2 linked regions of the Lytechinus pictus genome follow. The protein of the gene in region 2 purifies or fractionates together with the protein of the main gene of each other region. This does not show direct contact. Links are inferred from orthologs where the notes say so. Each region holds a gene or a part of one and is shown on either strand. Other genes may lie near its edges.

Region 1 (11,105 bases), on a different chromosome or scaffold from region 2:
AGGGAAAGAATTATTCAATGATTTTCATGATTTTCAAATATTTTCAAGTCCAACTGGTGAATATATATTTTTTCAAACAGCGATCGATCATTTTGGGGGAAAAAAGAGAAGCAAGTTATTTGGAATAAATACAATAGGAGTGCATGCTGTGGTCCACCCTTTAAAAAAAACCAAAGGTCCTCCTCCTTTCTTTTTTTTCTTCATAAACTAAATGTTAAAATGCTTTTAAAACATATTTTCCCCAAGAGTATATTTCAAATTTAATTTGTAAATTTACCTCAAAGACCTACATGTAGACTATGTAGAGCTCTATATCATTACAATAAATGAACAAGATGCCATGTGATAGAATGTATTTTCTGCCCCACCCCTTTCCCCAATCCTTTCAATTTTTGTCCTGAAAAAATGTCACTGCCAATTATTGACTGACATGACTGAAGTCACCATCCCCTGTAGACAGCTGGCAGCCGTCTGTTTCGAGGAGTTTTTCAGCATTTTTTTATTTTTTTATTTCTCCTCGTACACAGACGGCTCGCTATCGTGCAGCCACCATTAGGGGACTTACAATGCAAAATCCTCCGGATGGGGCACATCGATTTTTGTCTTTATTTCATAAAAATATTGAAAAAGAATTGAACCAAAATAGAGATTATTATACTGTTTTGGCCTGAAATGCACCAAAACGAGGAAAAATAAACTTAAAAGGGGAAAACAGTGACTTACTTCGGCTGTCGCGCAACTTCACTCCCCCATTTTATCCGAACTTAAGTACATAAACATATGGCCATCGAGTCCCCTGTACAGATCGCGCTAGAACTTCTGTCTCTGTATTTGGTGAGTGGAGCCAACGTAGTTCAGCGGAACAACCAACATAACAGAGACCGAAGCTTTTGGCCTAACATTATATCCCCTGCTGCCAGCTGCCTTCCTTTCTTTTTTCTAGACTCTAGTCTAGTTCTCAAAGATTCCGAAATTCCTTCTTTCTTAATATGTTAGATGTTACACACGTTCCTTCATCATCTCAACCATGTCAAATCATCTTCTTCCACTTTTCTAAAGTCATGAAAGTTAGTCTGGAAAGACGGCCAACGAACGACTGTTTAAAAAATTTCTTCCAATGTCTGCATAAACAGCATATTGCATGATGGCTGCAGTGCAAGCCAAGAAATTTAAGACTCGTCTAAATTAATGTTGTAATTGTAATTGTAATTGAAATGGTTTATTAAGAAAACTTCATCGCAGCCGAAGGCTGAATTGCGAAATTCTGTACAAGGTAAAATACAAAATATATACAATAACAGTGACTATAACAAAATGACATGTAAAAGTAATAAAATAAATGTTATATGTTGAAATTTAAGAAAGGAGAAGAGTAGAATAATTTTATACATGGGATAAAAGTAATCTTGGATAGTTGTAACAACAGTATGATTCTGTGGGGATAAAGTCAGTAATTCATAAGCTTGCATGAATGAAATAAGTAACAGAAATTATAAACAAATGGCATTTCTTTAAAGAATTGAAGATGAAATATAACTAGTGCCGGAATAAGGGGGAAAATGACGATAAGGTTGGTAAAACTGCTTAAAGGGATTTTGTCAATGAGATAGGTGCATTTCACCTGGCTTACAAGGAAATAAGAGATATCATAAATCTAATGATTGATTAAACAATTTCTGGTTGTACATGTATAAACATGGAATTAGCATATTAAACGATTATACCAAGATGGGGAAAAAACAAGTATGCCCATTGAAAACAAGCAATGCTAGATGTGGTAAAAGTAATATTGAGCACAAATATGTAAGCTTTATTATTGTTATCATTTTGCTACAAAGAATCGTAACCAGAATTTAAAGTAAACGAAAACATAATAATAACAATAATAATATTATCATATTAGACGATAGCATATTAATATCGTTTTGTTTAAAATCTATTTGCATAATTTGGATATTGTTAACACATTGATTGCTTGTTGAGATGTCGTATCATGTATTAACTGAAAAGGCATGTTTTAATTAATCATAGTTTTTTAAATTAATTACATATTCGATTGATTGTTGAGTAGTCGGACCATGTATGGGACAGCGCTTTTGCGACGGCGTTCTGTTCTACAGCGTATTTCAGTGTACATATTGCTGTGACGTAGTGAACGTTTGTGGACCGCCTCACGAGTTGGAGGTAGCCAGTCGTGAAAGGGGGAGGAATGAAGACTCACGCCCTTTGCTAGTCTCATACATAGTCCTTCTCTCCGCTTATCAAGAGTAGATAGGTTGAGCACTTCTAGTGCATGGTCATAATCTTGGTAAGCAGGCCCAAGCATGAGGCGGAATGCGCGTTTTTGTATCCTCTCAATTTGTTTTCTCTGTGATGCGTCAAGTCCAGAGTGCCAAACTGGTGCACAGTACTCTAATGCTGGACGAACATAGGAGGAATAAATTACCTTCAAATCATCAAGGGGTAGTTTGAATCCCTTGAGGATGCGCAACATATGAAGCCTCATGCTTGCGCGCTTGGTGATCTCATTGACATGATATGTCCATTTCAAATCTTTCTGAATGCAAACTCCAAGTAGTTTCATGAACTGGACTTCAGATAGTTCCTGCCCTTCGAGTTCAACAGTGGGATTTGGTGGACTTGTTCTCATGAAACTTATGTGCATGACAGCACATTTACTCGGGTTGAGTTTCATGTTGTTATCTTTAGACCACTGCTGAAGCTCATCCGCACTCTTCTGGATGGTGGCAGGGTCGCTCGTTTTCCTGTTTTCTAGTATCGAGAGATCATCTACGTATTTCCAATGTAGATTAGGACTCTGTTGGCATGCATCATTGATCAAGCAGAGGAAAATAAGCGGGCCTAAACGAGTTCCTTGCGGGGCACCAGCTTGTATGTTCTTCCATCCTGAGACTACTGATCTGTACTTAACACACTGTTGCCGGTCTTTCAAGAAGTTGCATATCCATGCAACCAATGCTGGTTGAACATTCATGTCTAAGAGCTTTGATAGAGCCAGGTTGTGGTCAATCCGATCGAAGGCCTTGGAGAAATCAGTGGCCAATAGGGTACATATTGATTTCGGTTTGTCAACATTAGCATGTATTACATTGAGGAGATCAATCAGATAGTGCGATGTTGACATACCCTTTCTATTTCCAAACTGAGCTTTGTCGATGGACCCTTCCATGTCTTTTAGAGCCCAATTAGCAACAAACTTCTCAGCTACTTTTGAAAAATGATCTGTCAGTGATACAGGTCGTAGGTTTTCAATAGTGGGCTGCGGGACTTTGGGCACTGGAACAACGCAAGCCCGTTTCCAGCACTCAGGCACCACTGCTTGCTGAAAAGAAGAATTCAAGATATCGCAAAGTGGTATGCATAACTCGTAGGCGAAGAGGTTTATCACTCTAGCTGGGATCCCATCTGGACCGGGAGCCTTACTCTGTTTGATGTTCTTCAGCTCTCTGTAGACCTGATACGGTTGTACAAAGGGAAGGAGTTTGCTTGCAGGGAGATAAGATGGCAAAGTAGATGTGTTCAACTTTGGGATGTCCTTTGCTATGTCAGTGAAGAACCTATTGATCTCTTCTGCACAGCTCCTCAGGTCACAGGGATCAGTACTAGGGATATCAATCTTTGGTGACTTCACCTGACCACTTGTCATTATCTTGATGTGTCTATACCATTTCGATGGATTTGACTTCTTCATCTTCTGAACCCGGTTGACGTAGTAATCAGCTTTGGAAAGTACAATCTGTCGTTTCACCTTGTTCCTCAGCTGATGCCATCTTGGAATATCGTTTTGAGCAAAAGCGGTTTGCCGCTCTGAAATCAAGGATTTGATGGCTGGTGTCATCCACGGTTTGTCTTGTACATGGAGCCTTGATGTCTTCTTTGGAAAGTATGAATCTAACAGAGGTTACAATGTTAGCCTACTGCGACTGTCTACCATGTCTACTTTGGTTAATTTTACCACTCTCACTAATGCCAATGGCAATGGCAATGCTAACACAATAAATTGCTTTAGATTCAATCAGTGAGTTAACTCCTGCGCTGCGCAATCCATATTACTGTATCACAGAATCGTGATACCCCCATTCGCATTGTGTGCATCGGAATCGCTTGTGACATAACAGTAGGCCTACGGTACCGGTATTGCCGGTATCCATATCCAAGACCAAGACAGTTCTAACAAAAATAAAAAGCGATATTCCAACTCATAACAGGATTGATAATAAGGCATTTCAGTATCAAATTAAATGAGATAAAATATAACAAAGCTTACCTGACATGATTGTGATATATTTTGTCTCTGAAGCAGAGATAATGAATTTCGAAGTACAGTCGCCATTTCGCATTCGATTTCACAGGTAATCGTTGGTGTATTTTCTGAGCGTTATATCACCGGCCGATTTACGTTACAAAAGAGGGTAAGAAAATAGACGTAAAACGAGGCGTTTTGTACTAGTTCACAAGATAATGCGGTACGTGAAGTACAGTGTATCATTATAACTACCATGAAATTGTCTGGAAAAAGGTTAATTTCTTGACTGCACTGGGATTCTATTGCTCTGCTGCCTTTTCCATGTTATGTAGAACCATGCACTGAACATAGACTAATAACAACGAATCATCCTGGGCCTGGTGGAGACGGGGGGGGGGGGGGGGGAGTTCTGTGCGCACCCCGTAAAATTTGCCCCAACTAAAAAGGAGGAACTTTTCATTTGTGAGAAACAACTTTTTTTGCTGGCTTAAAGTGGATTGCCTGGGGAGAGAAAAGCTGTTATCATTTGGGCTTGTCAAGTTTTCGGGGGAAAAACTATATGCTCTTACATGAGTGAACATGAACACCCCGGATGAGGGGGGGGGAACTACCATATGATACTTTTAAAGGGATGGTCCGGGCTGAAAATATTTATATCTTAAATGAATAGAGTAAAATTCACAGAGCAAAATGCTGAAAATTATTTGATCAAAATCTGATAACAAAATAACGAAGTTATTGAATTTTAAAGATTTGCATCATTCCGGTGAAACAGTTCTAGGCATGTCTTCATGAATATTCATTTTGTGGGCTGATGATGTCATATCCCCACTTGTTCTTTTGTATTTTATTCAGTAAGGTTTCTTTCAAAAAAATTCTACCAAGAACTAAACCAATTGGATTGCAAGACAACTGATTAAGTGCATTAGTTATCTATTGACGCAACTTATATGGAGACACATATTATTTACACATGTATGAAAAAATTAAACAATTATGATTTCATGTAATAATATAAGAAAAAGGAAAGTGTGGATGTGACATCATCAGCCCACCTGACGATGTGCTTACAACTGGTTTCACAAAATATTGAAAAAATTTAAAATTCATTAACTTCGTTATTTGTTATCCGATTTTGATGAAATTTTCAGCATTTTGCTTTGTGAATTTTACTCTATTTATTTAGATATAAATATTTTCAGCCCGCACCATCCCTTCAAGAGCAATCCTGGAACCGCGAGTTTCATAGAGTTCAAAAAGAAGAAGTAGGTTGAATTGAGTAAGCTTAACGTTGATTTCAATTGAACGTTTTAAAATCAAACGTACGTTAAAAATGGCCTAGCTGCCTATACCTGGCCACGTACCAAATATTTCGGGCTCGCCATTTACAAAAAAGGAGGCCTAAGGTAATGGTAACTGTCGGATAAAATGGGACTTGTCGGATAAAACGTCCGACATGTCAGAGGTACAGAGTCAACGTATCAGAGGTGGATCCAGGGTCGATATAAAGCGATACAGCGCTTCTCCTATCGATAGAAGCTATATATAAGAAATAAAGTGTTCAGTTGGTTCCCTCTTTAATAGGGGCGCTGGAGGTTTTCGTCAGAAAAAAAATAACAAGACAGTAAAAAATAAAAATAAAAGTAAAAAAAAATTCACTGCCAAATTATAAAGATTTGGCAGTGAATTATTTTTTTATTTTTATTTTTATTTTTTACTGTCTTGTTATTTTTTTTCTTCTTTTTTTTTCTTGTCAAATTGACAAGGAAAAAAAAAGAAGAAAAGGTTATTGCTTCCATATATCCGTCATTTGGGACCAATAGGACTTCATTCATTTATTCTGTTGCTCGTCAACGTGATTTCCAGTGGGGGTGCGTGCAGGGGCGTCTTTATAAGCCTTTTTCCAGTGGGGGGATGTGGAGGCCCTGATTACAAAAAAATATATCGGTAGCGATTACCGACGTCCGGCGACCATGAATCTTGGAGGTGTTCTTCATTCTCCTCAGCCAGTCTTTCGTCATACCCAGGATCAGTTGCAGCTTTCTTCAATGGGCGGGGGGCGATTTCATCCACTTTTTCCCGTCGCGGCGGCCAAAATCTTATTTTCTTTCTTTCTTTTTTTTTTAAGGGGTTAGTCCTAACTAAATTTTCATTTTTAGAAGCAACATAAATTACATAAGGTATTTCATGTGGCCTGAATCTAAATTACCATGCGAGCGCGAAGCGCGAGCTCAAATTTTTGGATATTTTATATATAGGCCTATTTAGCCCTGAAAATTGAACACTGTGGGCAGCTTTTGAAATCATCATGGTCGGGGGGTATTTAGAAAACGATCCATGGGAGCGCAAAGCGCCGCGAGCTGAAATTTTTAATACTGGCCATGCAGCATAAAGATCCTGTTAAAGACTGTTCTCAATCCAAACATTCGAGCGCGAAGCGCTACAGGCGCGTAGCCAGGGGGCGGTGGGGGCGGTCGCCCCCCTCAAAACGCTCCCAGAAAGAAAAAAATAAGAGGAAAAGGAGAAAAAGAAAAAGCGAAAGGAGAAAAGGGAACAAAGGTATAGCTCTTGTTGTTTTTTCCTTCTTTTTGGTCAAAAGAATAACAACATAAACGAGACGTAATCTTCTCTCTTCATGCTATAAATTTGCTTCCGCGCTTCGCGCGAGAAAAATATCAAAATTGCCATTCTCTTTTGTTTCCCACATCTTTTTTCTACTCTATGTTTCCCCTTCCCGGCCGTGGGAATTGTATGTTCTTGCCAGAAATTATTAAGTATACATGGGTGTAAAGAGTATGAAAAGTGTTTTTTTTTAATATTGCATTGATACAAAATGTTGGCTCTTCTGTTCGGAGCGGGTAAACATTACTTTCATTCCCGAGTCCCCAAGTGCTTTTTCTTCCGCTTTTCAGCAAGTAATTTTTGGCAAAGTGTCTGCTCAAAGGGAGAGGAAATAAATTCGTGCCATGCTAGTTGCAATAGTGTTTACGATATCAAACTTTATTCTATATCGCTGCACATCCATCTCCTGTCTTATTTTGCGTCATTGATTTGAAATTTTGAATATCACTGAAGCTTCTTGATAAAAAAAAAAGAGGCCCTTAATATGAGCGAAACAATTTTTCTTCCAAAATAAATCACAGAGGTTTCAGCCGTGCTTCGCGAGCAAGGGAAAAGTTCCTCTTCTAGCTTGCATCATCCCTTTCACATTTTGAGCTCGTTTTTCTTCTTAATTGAGTTATATATATTCTAAGATATATCAAACTTAGAACAGGTTAAAGTTTCAGATAAATTTCCAAAAATCAGAGATTCAACGCCATTCGCGGGAAGGAATAGGGTCTATTTTTTATGTATATACCAATTTTCTACTCTGTTTTGCGACTTGAGTTAACGAAATTTAATGTGGATATACTTTTTACACTCAAATCTGATGTGACCAAGATAGGCATAATTGTATCATTTCTTCTCTCTCTCTTTTAAAACGTTTTAAGCTTCCGCGCTTTGCGCGGAAAGAGAAATTATTTCAAATTCTCCAATTTTTTCCCATTTTTTGGAGAGCTCATAATTTCTTTCGAAAACAATTTTTTTTAATCAAAGCAAGTCAATATTCGAGTTGATAAGGGTATACTAGAGACGCCTTCTTTTGATTTGAATTTGATGAGATATCAAAAACTTCGCGCTCCGCGCGGGAAACTCCCCCTCCCTGCACCCTAGGGAGCGCTCTTCGCGCGCTCTGTAAGTGTTGGCACGGTGGCACGCTTCGCGTGCACTTACCGCCCCCTCCAAAATTAAATACTGCATGGCTACGCGGTTGAAGCGCTAGCTAGATCATTTTGTATTTCGACCTGAAAACTCGATTGTAACCATAAAAATGATGGATATAATAACCAAACAATAATTGATGCGATTGCGAAGCGCGAGCTGAAATTTTTTATTTCCGACATTTAGTAAGCACTTTTTGTAACAATACGCATAATGTAACTAAACAATTCAAGCTATGGAGAGCTGAAACTTTTAATTAACTGCCCTGACAAAAAGGGAATCATTAATAGAATACATTTCTCACTAATCAAATATAGAGCGAGTGGAAAGCGCGAGCTGCAAAAAAATTATATTCCGACCTGAAAACTCGATTGTAACCATGCAGAGGGTGGATATTAACCAAACAAATGATGCGGGCGCGAAGCGCGAGCCGATTTTTTTTTCGACCGGAAAACTGGACATAAGCAGTTTTTACATAAACAATATGCGTATATAACAATTAATGCGAGCTGATACTTTTCATTAACCTTACTGGAAATGACATGTTAATCAACTATTTGCAGTGACTCATTAATGTAATACATTTCTCACTAATCAAATAAAGCGAGCGCAAAGCGCGAGCCGATTTTTTTTTATTATTTTTTTTTTTATAGATTTTGGACCTGAAAACTAGACTGGTTAAACATATTTTTATTAAAGAACACAGTAAACAAGCACGAAGCGCGAGCTAATGTTTTCTTCAGATTTAGAACTAAAAACAGAACTTTCGAATCAATGTAACCATGAAGAATGTAGGCATAGAACTAAGCAACTTTTGATGTTTTGATTTGAAAACTCAACATTTTCACACGTTTTTTTTTTATATAAAGAACAAACTCAGATGTGGCATATGCAATTTAACAATATGTGTATCTTAATGCGAGCGCGGAGAGCGAGCGGAAATTTTAGATATCTGAGGGAAGTTTAAGCAAAATTTTCGGCAAAATTATCACTAAATATATCAATCATTCGAGCGCGAAGCGCGAGCTGATTTTTTTTTAGATTAAGACTTTTTCTAATCATTGTCGATAGCCTATACAGGAGGCTACCCACGATAATATGTCAATTTGACATTATTTTACCGACAAAGATAATGGAACTGAAAGACCAAGCAAGAACAAATATGGAGCAGTCTGCTGTTGGAACAGGCCTGCGTGACCCGACAGTTTGTCATTTTCCCCGACAAGCGTTAGTGCAACATCTCAGACCCCGCATCTTTAAGCAACCGACACACAAGTTAACCTAATCAAAACTTTGTCTACCCCATTCTCTCCTCTCTCTCTCTCTCTCTCTCTGTTTTTCTCCTTCCTTTTGTTTTCCTCTTTGTCCCTTTCTTTCTTTCTTACTTTCTTTCTTCCGTCCTTCCTTTATTTCTTTTTCTCTTTCTTTTCTTTCCTTTTTTCTTTTCTCTTTCTCCCTTCTTTTTTTCTTTTCGCCTTTTTTTTCATTTTTCCCGACAGCGGCGCTGATTTACCGACGATATCCAAATTAGTGTGCGAGTGTGTGTGTGTGTGTGGGGGGGGGGGGGGTTTGTCGTATCCCCCCCCCCCCCCCGGTAGGGCCATGCAATAGTTTCCTGCAGGACCTATTAGGCATTAAGGGTCCTGAACCATGCAACCTATCAGAATAGCCCCCTCTATCAATTTAACCCCGATTGTTTGAAAACAAATTGGCGTTGTGGCGTAGGCCTATACGCCTGTAAGCTACAGTGGGAAGCCTTAAGAACTGATGCTGAAGAGGTTCGAGGTTCGAGCCCTGGTCACGTCTTCCGGATAGTGATGTTAAAGAACGGTCCCAGACGTAAATAGTCATATCTGATTGATATTGAAATTTGCATTATAGTAGAGGAGACATAATTCGTTTTATAAACAAGCACAATTAACTAATTTCAATGCAATGGCCAGCTATCGGAAGCCAAAGGTTTAAAATGAATAGAAGCCAGACGAAATGGGTTACATGAACCCTCCCCCCCCAAAAAAAAAAAAAAACGAGAGCAAAAATACAAGGGTCACTAATTTAAACGCGATGTCACTCCTATTCAGAGGGGCCACACACTAAAAGCATTTTTGCTTTTTTTGTGGATCCCTCCATTTTCTCAGATTTGTATAATGTTTCTGATAACTTTGCTTATAATACTTGAAAATAATACTTTAAAAAAAAATACTTATAATACTTAAAAATATATATATATATGTCGTATTCACCACAATTTATATTGCTTGTATAATAAGTGTCATTTGCAAATATCACTGTAATAATATACGACCACTTTACTTTGTTATGTTGAAAATGAAATAAAACAAATTGAATTTAAATATAAACAAAGAAAGAGAGGGGGCAATATGAAGTGTGAGAATGCTGGTGCGGGTGTAGGTGATAATTTTATAATAATGAAAGGTACCTCTCTTAAACGAAGTTTTGAGGGATAAAAGGGATGGAAGCTTGTTTAATATTTTTAGGGTAAATTTCCATACATCTGGACCGTAATGTCATATTGTTTTGTGAGTAATAATTAATTTTCGATTTGTTAAATGAAAGTCAGATTAATCTCGAATAGTGAATGAATGTGTCAATTGTAAACAAAAATAAATATTTCTATATACTATATATTATTGTTGTAATGTTATAGTCATACAGATAATGGTAATATGTATGAGAATGAGAATAGAAGTTTTGCCTTCCTTACATCACATGATGACATAACCTTATAAATGCCTCTCCACGTTTTGACATTATCAAAGATATTGATGCTGCATTGCGATGTGCATGACATTTCTTTCTATAAGCTGGATTATTTGCGATATAATTAACATCGTGAATATGAGAATATTTGACGTTTCATTACATGTGAAAATTATATGAATTTGTATTAGCAATGAAAGTCAATGCAACAGTGAAGTTACTTGACATTTAGTAATACCCCCTTTAAACTCAGGAGATTTCATCAAAGTGTGATTCACAGCCCTAACCCTTTTCCTCTTGTTCCTTCCTCGGGAACTGTGATTCATGCTTAAACCCCCCCCCCCCTTCCATCTCT
Region 2 (11,182 bases):
GTCAGATCCATAAACTTTCAAAGTTATGATGGTAATTCAACAGATACCCCCAATTTGGCCAAAGTTCATTGACCCTAAATGACCTTTGACCTTGGTCATGTGACATGAAACTCAGGCAGGATGTTCAGTAATACTTGATTAACCTTATGGCCAAGTTTCATGAACTAGGTCTATATACTTTCTAAGTTATGCTGTCATTTAAAAAACTTAACCTTCGGTTAAGATTTGGTGTTGACGCAGCCGCCGCCAGAAAAGCGGCGCCTATAGTCTCACTCTGCTATGCAGGTGAGACAAAAACAGGTAGAAAGAAAGAGAAGAAAAAAAAGGAAGTAAAGTTAAAGTATAAAACAGAAAGAATGGATGGAAGAAGGGATGAAAGGAAGGGGGAAATGAATAAGAATGAAGGAAATAAAAAGTAAGATGAAAGTGAAAAAGAGTCTAAGCAAAAAAGAAAAAAATTAAATGAATAACAGGCAAAGAAAGAAAGGAAAAAGGAAAGAAAGGAGGGAAGGAAATCCAAGTAAAGCAAGAAAATGAAAGAAAGAAAAAGAAACAAAAAAATAAAAGAAAGGAGAGAAAAGGGGAAAAATAAAGGAAGGATGGAAGGAGGAAAGGGGGGAAAAGAAATAATAGAAAGAAGAATTACGGGATGGGAAAGTATGGATGAAAGGAAGGAGAAACAGACAAGGAAGAAAATTGAACGAATGGGAAAAGAAGATGAAAAGAGGGAAAGGAAAATGGAAAGAGTAAAAGTGAAAGGATGGAAGAAATTAGGAAAGAAATAATTAGAGCGATCCAACCGAGGAAAGGAAGATTAATGACCTAATGAAAGGATGAAGAAAGAAAGAAAAAAAGAAAGAAAGGATTGATGGAAGCATTGATTGAAAGAAAGATGGAAGGAAAGAAAGAAAAGAAAAAAAAAACATGTTTCATTTTGGCTCAAACTGATACCTAGATCGAGTTTCGTAAGAAACCAACTTAATCAGCTCCACATGTGTTTTAGTGTGTGTTGATGCGGACGATGTCACCCGAAACCCGATCGTTTGGGGCCAAGAAAGGAGTAATAATTTCTTTTTTGATTACTTACAAATGAAAGAGTTGCACCATTTTTTAGGAAACATGGGCATAATAAGAGATTTCATTGGTGTAAAATGTGAAATTTTACAGTCCTTTGGGCAAAGTTACAGAACCAAACTTTGTAGCTGGGGTGTGCAGCACAGTGCATGTATACGGCGGGGTCAACTGGGCATTTTCGCCGTAGTGTAACGGCTCCCATTTGTGATTTTTTTCTGGCGCCCGGGCATACTAGTTTTCGAAGGAGCCAGGCGCAAAACCCTTTGAACCGGGAGCAAAATTGCGCCTGGCGCCCGGTTAATAAAAAGCTTGTTTATAACCATTATATTTAAGTTCATATATTCATAATAATCTTGAAAATAAGTATTCATTCTTAACCTTGGGTAGCCCTGATATTTACCTTAATCATGTGACCTGAAACTCCTGCCAAATGATCAGTGATACCTGATTATATGTCCAAGTTCCATGAAATAGGCCCTTAAAATTTTTAAATTATGATGAAATTTCAAATTTTTTTACTTCGGTTAAGATGCTGACACCATCATCGTCGGATGTATTATGGAAGCATAGTATACCCATTTCTGCTTGTCTAAAGTCCACTTATGGGTGATATAGAATATTCCATGAAAAGAATGAATTAATGAAATCATGATCAAATGAAACAATATCAATATAACGAAATCTTTTCATATGCATTACATTTATTAATCTCACCTTCATCAAAAGCCACTCTGAGTTTATCCAGATGGTCGTTCAAACTCACTGAAAAAGAAGAGGCAAATATAAGTATGTACGTGAAAAGTGATTCCTGAATTGGAAATCATACTTTTATACAACTTGTCTGGGTATGTTGGCACCAATTCCTCCAATCAGATGGACGATTGCTAATAAAAGTTGGTGCTAAAATAAAACAATTCTCACATTAATACATTGACAAGCAAACTTTGCTGTGCCTTTGTGCATTGCTCATTTTAGTGCAGTCTAAATTTCACCTTTTTAAAACACTTTAACATGCACTAAATAACCATTATACACACTCATTTCAAGCAGAACGAAATCAACCAAATATTTACAAAGTGCTCTTTTCTACAGAGTCCCACTCCTTATGATTAAACTTACCTGTATTTTCTTTTCCTATTCGTTTGACAGTTTCAAGATCATCAGTATCGGCTAGCTCTTCATTGATTTCCATCACCTCCATGAGGAATAACGGTTCTATATTACTCTCTCCTTCTTCTATTGAAAACCCTCTGAGCTCAAGCTGTGTATCAAAGAAACATAATAAACTGGATTTATCTAGCACCTTTTCCAAAGGACACAAACTGCTGCTTACAATGTTAAGTGACTTAAGATTTATCATATATGACTGTTTCAAAACATTTTCAATAGATCAAGGTAATGTTGCATCAAATTGGAACTTATTCCAAAGACATGGGGCAAGTGATTAAAAAGAATTGAAGCCAACTTGTTCTCTGAATTTGAGCATGACTGACATATCAATGAGCAGGTATAGAACAAGCATGTTGCTCTCTGTGTTGCTGAAAGAGTGGAGAGCCAAACCTGTTCAAAACCTTTTCACTCTTGTGCGTTAAAATGATTATGCAATTAAACAAGGAAATTATAAATATTAAATGAACTCCAGTAAATGTTTACAAGGCTATTAATCTTAAGAAATATTGAATAAATATGAAACCTAGCATTTCAAAGAAGAGCGGACCTAGGCTTATCATGGACTTAACCCGGATTAGCTTATAAATACCACCCAAAGACTTTATCATGAACGTTTGACCAACATGTTCATTTTCTATCAGTAAAACAAACACAACTTCATGATATTGCAATTAACACCCTTTGTATCATAGAAAAAGAAAACACTTAATTTAGTTAATTACCAAGTAGAGGCCTCTAGAAAGTGGTTTGAGAAGCACCTTGTAAGCTCGATTCACAGCCGATGACTGGGCAGCGGAGTAGTTCTGTTCTGTCTGTGTGAGAATAAATGAAAGGATAAGTTCTTGACCCTGCTTCTCCAAAGTCTCTGCAAATTGAATTACAGTTTTAAGGAGTCTCAACACGGTAAGTTCTTGGAAAAGTGAACATGAAATTGTTTGTGTATTTGAAGGAGATTCTACACAAATCATTAATTATGTGTAGTAAGAAATAATATTACCTGAACAGTTATTATGCACTCTATCTATGCATGATTTGAAATAATTTTGGGCACAGATTGCTGGAATGTATTCAGTGTGCATGCACTTTCTACAAAGTGCTGGGTCCTGTCAAATTTAAGTTACTACTGTCATGGCATCTTTACCATCCGCTGTCAACTTCCATTGAAACAATACCCAATCAGTATCCAGATGCAATGGGATATTCCATGGCAAAGAGACCATTTTGCCCAAGTCTGATGATGACATATAATCCTGAACTCAACCGACTTTGCCCTGACAACCAAAATAATGCATCTCACAATCCCATTTGAATGTATTTGAAATCACCACCTTTACATGAATTTAACATCAGAGCACTTAACTTCAAGTGACTTTCATTTTTTCAGTGAGCAAGGTGCATTGCTATATTATTGTATAGGCCTACATAAATTCACTTTTGCTCTTGGAGCCCCCCCCCCCCCCCATATAAAAATTACCACAAAAACAATACCCAAATACAATGGTTTTATAGAGAACACTGAATGGCTTTTCTTTTTTACCTCTGATTTATTGCTGAATTTGTCTGGGTGAAGCAACCTCTGAAGGTTTCTAAAGCAGTTGGTCAGGTCTTGAACTTCAACATCAAACTTCTCCTCCCTAAACAAGTACCAAATGAATTCAGTGCAACAATTAACATTCATTCAAAATTTCAAACTTAAAAAAAAAAAACAATTTTACATATAACGAGAAGAAAACTTAAAGGATTCTTCTTCCTGTAGACTTTCCTCTTTGGGATAAAGTGTGAAGCTCTCTAAATCCAGACTAACGGGGAAGCAAAAAAAGAAAGGCACTCACTCAGTATATAATGCGTGGCGGGTACGTGCCACAGAGAGGACCCCCATTTTTACATTGAGGAAAGGAACAAAGAAAGCCGCTCCAAAGCATATCACTTTCTTCTTATCGAGAAAAAAGAAGAAATTCGTTCCAAAGCTTTGCATATTTTTCGTTATGCTGTTCGGCCACATTGATCTGCGACAATGAGTTGCAATTTTGGTGAAAAGCAGCCGCACAGAGCTGTCCGACCATCGCCTCTGCGCAAGCGCACCTGGCGCCCATATCCCATGCCAGCGGGTTAGCTGCATGCACTTATGCCCGTATAGGGCGATGTTCGTGCAGGCACCACTCCACTTCACTACCTGACTACCGCTACACTACACTCCACCTGCCCGAACATCGATACCGTGAACTCTATCTGATATTCCGAGTGACAAAGGTGGGATTTTATGGGGGGAAATATAAAATTCATGCAACATCACGATCTTTAAAAACAATTAAAACTAATATTCTTACTATACACAAAGTTTCACTTCTTTGGCTTTGCCATGCTTCTATCAGTCTCAAAATTCGTGATTTAGAGCCAACATGAATTGAAGGTCCTCACACGTATAATTATTTGCTGCCGATTTCAAAACATCGCATGCGAGGCTCCAAAGCCCGTTTTTTGTCTCGCTGTGGCACATACCTACCAATTTTTTGGTCGAGCACCCCCCCCCCCCCCTCCGGGGCATCTCCTGTGCCATTTGTGGCATTAATATTTCGATCCCAGTTCAAGCCTTCTTCATCTCAAATAATCATGATAATATGCCCGATATCTGAATATCAATCTCTTCCCATCAATTTAGCACCTGATCATTCTCTTATTTAAACTGAACATCTTATTAAAATGTTTTCTGAAGCAAAAGAAGCATTACATTCCCATGATCTGAAAGTGGTTCAATCCGTCCTCCAGCGGCTGGATCATACTGCACGAGGCACAGAACAGAGCAGCGACGCGAGGTCCTCCACTGGACGTCTCAGACCGGGAGAGTTCGTCGTTGCAGTTCCAACAGCGTTTCGCAGAAGAGCAATACAAACGCTCTGTGACGATGATCATCCTGCTTCGTTGTCCATCATACGATTTTTTAGTGCATGACCAATTCGACAAGACTGATTTCATGTTTTGTCTCCTAGAGTATGTGCATGGTGAGCTGGAGATGAAGTTTCTTGAAGATATTCCTCTCTTTAATCTCATAATACTATTTGCACGTGACAGAGCCAGACGACAAGAGTTTATCCATGAAGCTGCCATGTTACTGACCATGCATAGCCATACATATGTGCGCATACAACAGAGCTATATATATAGCTAGCTAGCTCTGAATCGCGATCCGGTACCGTATATCCAGGGTCGACGTCGCAAGGGGGGGGGGGGGGGGGGGGGAGGACGAGAGACCCCTCGCCCCCTGGCCACTCAAGTTATTTTTTGAGAGTGGTGAAGCTCCTGTTTTTTACTTAATAATGCTATATCGGCCCAGAAAGAAAATAGTGGCAAACATCTTTGGATGAAAAATTCCTACTTTGCAAATAATTCATATTCCTCTTTATTTGGATATGAGATAAGTTTCAAAGCCCTATATAGTGGTTTGAATTCTGATCCGGTTCTGATCACCATCATCCATCCTTTTTCTGATCATCCATATAGGTCTATATGCTATTATAGTTCTAGATCACCTCTTGTTTAACCCTCGGGGGCACTCAAAAGGTGCAGGGCCGATGTTGTCTCTAAATCTGAAATCATACCCTTAAAGGAGTATAGGCATGATAGGTCTAGCTCCGGGATGAAAATAATATGATTTGGAGAGATCACTAAAAGTGTCATTAAAATGTGAGCTGCACGATCTCCACTCGATAACGCGTATAGCTGCTAATTCCACACGTGAAAAAGATTTACACACGTATTTCCATATTAAATTATACTTTTTTTTCTTTAAAAAAAGATCGCATTATTGTCCACCACTGAGATCATTTATAATAAGACTCCTCGTGCAATTAAATATTTGACTATTTCTTTTCATTCTTTTCATTTCGTTTATTAATTTCATTTTCATATTTCTCCTTTACATCTGATTCACATAAAAAGTAGCAACAATAATGCAAAACTATTAAATTATAAACAACTGAGAAGACATACAATAGCATAGTATAATGATGCAATCAGTCCAGTTAAGGTATATAGAAGCTTAGGCCCGTAAGTCAAAGAAATATGATCGGACATACATGAAAGCAAGGCTTGTAAAAAATTGCAGGCCCCGGTGAGATAAGTTGTAATTAATAGTGGAAGACGGATAATTATTTCATGACCTTAAATATGCAGATTGGAATTTTCAATTAAATACAGAACAAATGAAAGAAAAATATTTAAAGATATGAAATTGAAGTGGTCAAGGCATTACAAATTATCAACATACGGTGAATAGATATATCTTTCCATGACATGGCAAGTACGTACACCCGTATATAGGCCCTACATGTATGTACATAAATTAGTAAAATCATATCTGATATAATTATTACTGTCACATCACAATGTGCATATTGCTCAGCTGGTATACAGCAAGAGAAATACAGTTGTAACCAGAGAAAGAGCCCAAAAAAGACAAAACAAATACAAAACAAAAGACAACAGAAAAAAATACGAGGTATATGACTTACTAATCATGGAGATCAAGACAATGAAGAAAAAGCAGGTTCAAGAAATAATAAGTTGTTTTTAAAATAAATGTGCATCCTGTTATATCTGGCGGAAGAGTACGGTATGTATTTTGGTCTTGTGAATATTATTGTGTTTTTGTGTAAAAATTGTTCGAGTTAGAGTAAGATGGTATACTCTGACGCGTAGGATATGTGTGATATGATTGATTTTTTTTAACATTTGTGAAAAATTTTCTGGTAATTCGTCTTTAGATAAATGATACATGAATATACCAATGTTATATATATATAAAAGTCAATGACCTTTAGTATTTTGTTTTCATGAAAAAGTGATTTGTGTGACACAAGTACCCCGCGTGGTTTGCTTCTATGAAAAAATACACCATTCATTCTCCATGAACTATCAAAATTGAAATGAATAAAAAATATCTAATGCAAAGCCTATCCTTACAAAAGGAACTCGAAAGTAAAGTAAAATTTATAACTGAAAATTTTCGTGTTTGAAAAATAAAAAATTGACGTCTTCCCATGATAGCACCAATTCATGATGTATACTGCTTCATAATAGTATTTGTTTAAGAAATCTCGGGAAACTTGTGTAGAATAGGGCCCACTGCTTCGTATTGAATAGTATCTGTTAAAGAAATCTATGGAATTTTTGGAGATAAAATAATTTTCTAAAGTAAATATAATGTTCTAAAGTGATCAGAATCAGATGATTCATGTGAATGAATATTTTACTTCAACAATATCTTTTTGATTCTACGCACTTCATGTCGTTCATTATTTTAAATGCTCTCCAACTATTTCCTCATCGATAACAATGTCATGTCTGTTAATCAGTGATTTTGATTGAATTGATTTAGAACAATAATAGATCATTAATTGATCTCTTAATTCATTTAGTAGGCCTACTATACCATTTACACAATCTTTCGTACATATTTATGATGGCCGAACCCAGCGCGCAGGGGGCGGTGATGGGGGTGGACAATTAAGTGTTACACTTTTACTGAAAATTTTCACAAAATTTGTCAAAGTGTGCTCGCAAACCTTAGGTATTATAAAAAAAAATGACAAGCGCCTCCATGACAAGACTTCACTCCCTCGCTTTCGAGTTTTTTTTTAAATATGCGTCATGCCCCCCCCCCCCACTAAAAAACTTGGTGTACGGTCATGAAGGTCTATCCCTTAACTGTACTTGTTATTCATTTCTTCAATCATTATTGACTGAAAACAATACTCATTTCATTCATCTATAATCATTCATTCATTCATTTATTTACTTTAATGAAACCATGCATAAAGTGTAATTGATAAATATTATAGGGTAGCCTACTCATGTACTAGTGTATGTGTCTCCAACCAATCCTTGATGAATTTACATTAGAACTTTGTGACTGAGACTGTTGACTTGTTATGTGCATTGGCAACGCCTGTGTATTTTGATATGGGGAACAAGGTTGACATAAATGTAACTTTATTTCTTTTTCGGATTAAAATTTATGGATTTTTTTGTTATATATAATTATGTCTACTTTATGCTGCAGAAAAGTTTCGTGTCTCTTGTTTTGTTCGGCAAACTTTTAGTTATAAATAACACATTCATTGGGCAATTTTGACCATAGATGAATAATTTTAGTTGGTCACAGTTTCGACCAAAAGTTTGAGCGTTAAGCCCAAAAAACTTGTCTAATCCCTATTGGTTAAGGTTTTTTTTTTGTCCGACTGTTAAATGATTATGTTCAACATATAAGTTGGTCACATATTTTCTCTTCTGTTATTTATTTTAATTCCTTTTTTTAATCGGGGGGGGGGGGGGGTTGAACGCCTGCCCCTATATGGTACCGTCAGTGGCGTACCTAGGATTTTCCACAGGGGGGGGGGCAAATTCGTCCGCCAAAAAATTTGACAAGCAAAAAAAAAAAGGTCTTCAACCACAAATAAAGGGATTTCGTACCAGCAAAAAAATTGACAAGCAAAAAAAAAAAAAAAAAAAAGGGTCTTCGAGTTCAAAGGAGCGGGCCAGGGATCAGTTTTGACTCGTCAGGGGGGGGGGGGCAGGGATACGTCCCTTGCATGGGTTTTGACTCGTCAGGGGGGCAGTCTGCCCCCTCTGCCCCCCCCCCCGTAGGTACGCTAGTGGGTACCGTCCCGTCCCTGGTATAGTGGTATAGGCTATACAGTTTGCGTGTCTTCTCCCGGACGATATTCAACTTGTCGGATGTGACTAAATCTATTCCTTCCGGTTTGGTTGGTCAGTAAAGTTACAAGTGCACTGATATTTCCAAAGAAAAAGAAGACGTGATTAATTTTAGAAACAAACGAGTCATTAATTTGTTCCCTTAATTAATTGCAACGTAAGACTACGTGACCGATCCTAGTACGGTTGAGTAAACACGATTAGGATGTGACAATGATTCAGATACAAAAACGATGATAATTATGTTCAAGTTAGATATTTCTATTTGTTTATAATTAGTACCTTCATCAAGTTCAAATACCGATTACGTGAACCCAGGGGCGGATCCAGGATTTTTCAAGGGGGGGGGGCAAATTTTTCGGAGGAAAATTTTGAGAATATTTAGCACCCGAAAAAAAAATTTACAAGCAAAAAAAGGTCTTCAATTTCAAAAGAGGGGGCACACCTCTGTTTTAATGGCATTTTTACATTTTAATTCTTAATTGCCCCCCCCTGGATCCGCCAGTGCGTGTATTATCACCTTATGTATTTAGGAAGGCCATCTTGTATATATTTCCCTCAAAAGGTTCCTTTAAAAGTATTAAGGCATCCAACGATTTATATGGGGATTGGACCTGTAAATGCAAATTATAATATTTGAGTATACCCGAAAATGATCTTAGGAAAATATTGAGCAGTAGCCCCCAATCACAAATCACTATGTCAGTGCTCAAATGTAGAGCCCAGTACATAGTACCATTCATTAATTGCGACCTAATTTCAAATAAATTGTAAAAGCATTTTAAATGAAAATTCCACCTATTAAAACGATCAAATCCAAAATATTGGGATGAATAATTGAATCGAAAATCAAGCCTATATTTCGAGCCTCTGTGTAGAATTAAAGTTCAATTGCAAGTCGTATTAACTTGACGTCATCATCGGATGCGAGTTGAAGCTGAACTAGACTTTACTCCGACCACAATGTTTGCAACCAAGTAGAATTCCGATTTAATCATTCCTTTGATTGCACCTAATTGCGAAATATAATATAGTTTTTCTTCATGAAATTTCATATTAATGCGAAAATGCGACTTGTAAATAAAAAAAGAGTCGTTTTGGATCGTGTAGTGTGTACCGGGCGTATGGGACTATATAGGCGATTTCGTTACCTTGACAAAACTTTTAGAAATCTAAGCGCCTTAAAGATCATTAAAAAAAAAAACCTGGTTGATATGATCAGAATGGAAATAAAAAAGTGATTTTTGTAATTTTTCAAAAATGATGTTTTCTAAATAATGAATTGAGATAAAGTCATAAAAGAGAGAAGTAAGAATAAAGAGAAAGTGATTTAATTACTGTAAATGAAAGAAGAATAGGTCTACGACAAGTTTACGCCAACCAAATTAGTGTTTACAATCATCTATATCTGGATTGTCTTTAAAAACGGGGAATGTCCTTTTACTTTACCTTCGTTTTCAATGCGTCACAGGCACTGATGTTAGTGGAGAGAGATCAGTGGTCACAGGGTCTAGTCGTAGTGTTTCGGGCTATTGCAATCAAAACACCACCAACCACATTTCCTGCACTATCAAGAATTATCCAATCAGCAACGGTGTAACGCCATTCACCGTGTGATTGGGCTGTACGTGTATGAGCAGCTAATCATCGAAGAGCTTCTATCTTTCTGCAGCATAACATTACCGACCAGCGGAATGGTCAACAGAAAACTCGAATGATGGGTCATTATCAAACTGAGGCAATTTGGCTAAGAATGTTCTACAATGTCGGCTCTTAACCTGCCTGCACGAAAGGAGTTTTAGAATCATTAAGGATGACAATAATGATTCAAAGTTTTAAAATTTGACCGCTCTCTGTTCAGAGTCATATCCATTCGTATTTAATTTTCTCCCTCTTCTTGTAAGTATATGCACAATGTTTTTTATTCACCATGAGGGTTGAATTTTGTGTTGTCATCATTTTTTATATTTTATGCAATGGTCGCAAATAATTTTCGTTTTGACTCAAGGATTTTTTGCTCATTGTCTATTTAATTCCTTCATAATTATGAAATAATATGTTCAGTCGTACTTGGTGTCAAAGTAATAAAAATACTTGTCATTAAGTATTATCTAGGATAAAACATATTGGATTGGTGCTATTAACAAATGTTAACACTATATAATTCATAATACTAGTTACTGTTATTATTAGTATATTCGTTATCATCATTTTTTCCCAATAATAT

Evidence for each region.
Region 1: the proteins of iron-sulfur cluster co-chaperone protein HscB-like (region 2) and succinate dehydrogenase [ubiquinone] iron-sulfur subunit, mitochondrial-like purify together in Homo sapiens (co-immunoprecipitation; 3 studies listed by BioGRID and IntAct, with this or other methods). This does not show direct contact. The link is inferred for Lytechinus pictus from reciprocal best matches to the Homo sapiens genes HSCB and SDHB.

What each region holds. Positions count from the first base shown.
Region 1 is NC_087258.1:20,283,107-20,294,211, forward strand, and holds the start of succinate dehydrogenase [ubiquinone] iron-sulfur subunit, mitochondrial-like, read right to left. Parts: upstream 4,631-11,105; 5' UTR 4,355-4,630; coding exon 4,289-4,354; intron 1-4,288. UniProt on the Homo sapiens protein: Iron-sulfur protein (IP) subunit of the succinate dehydrogenase complex (mitochondrial respiratory chain complex II), responsible for transferring electrons from succinate to ubiquinone (coenzyme Q).
Region 2 is NC_087246.1:19,726,977-19,738,158, reverse strand, and holds the start of iron-sulfur cluster co-chaperone protein HscB-like, read right to left. Parts: upstream 5,373-11,182; 5' UTR 5,362-5,372; coding exon 4,973-5,361; intron 3,879-4,972; coding exon 3,782-3,878; intron 3,057-3,781; coding exon 2,967-3,056; intron 2,336-2,966; coding exon 2,194-2,335; intron 1,837-2,193; coding exon 1,789-1,836; intron 1-1,788.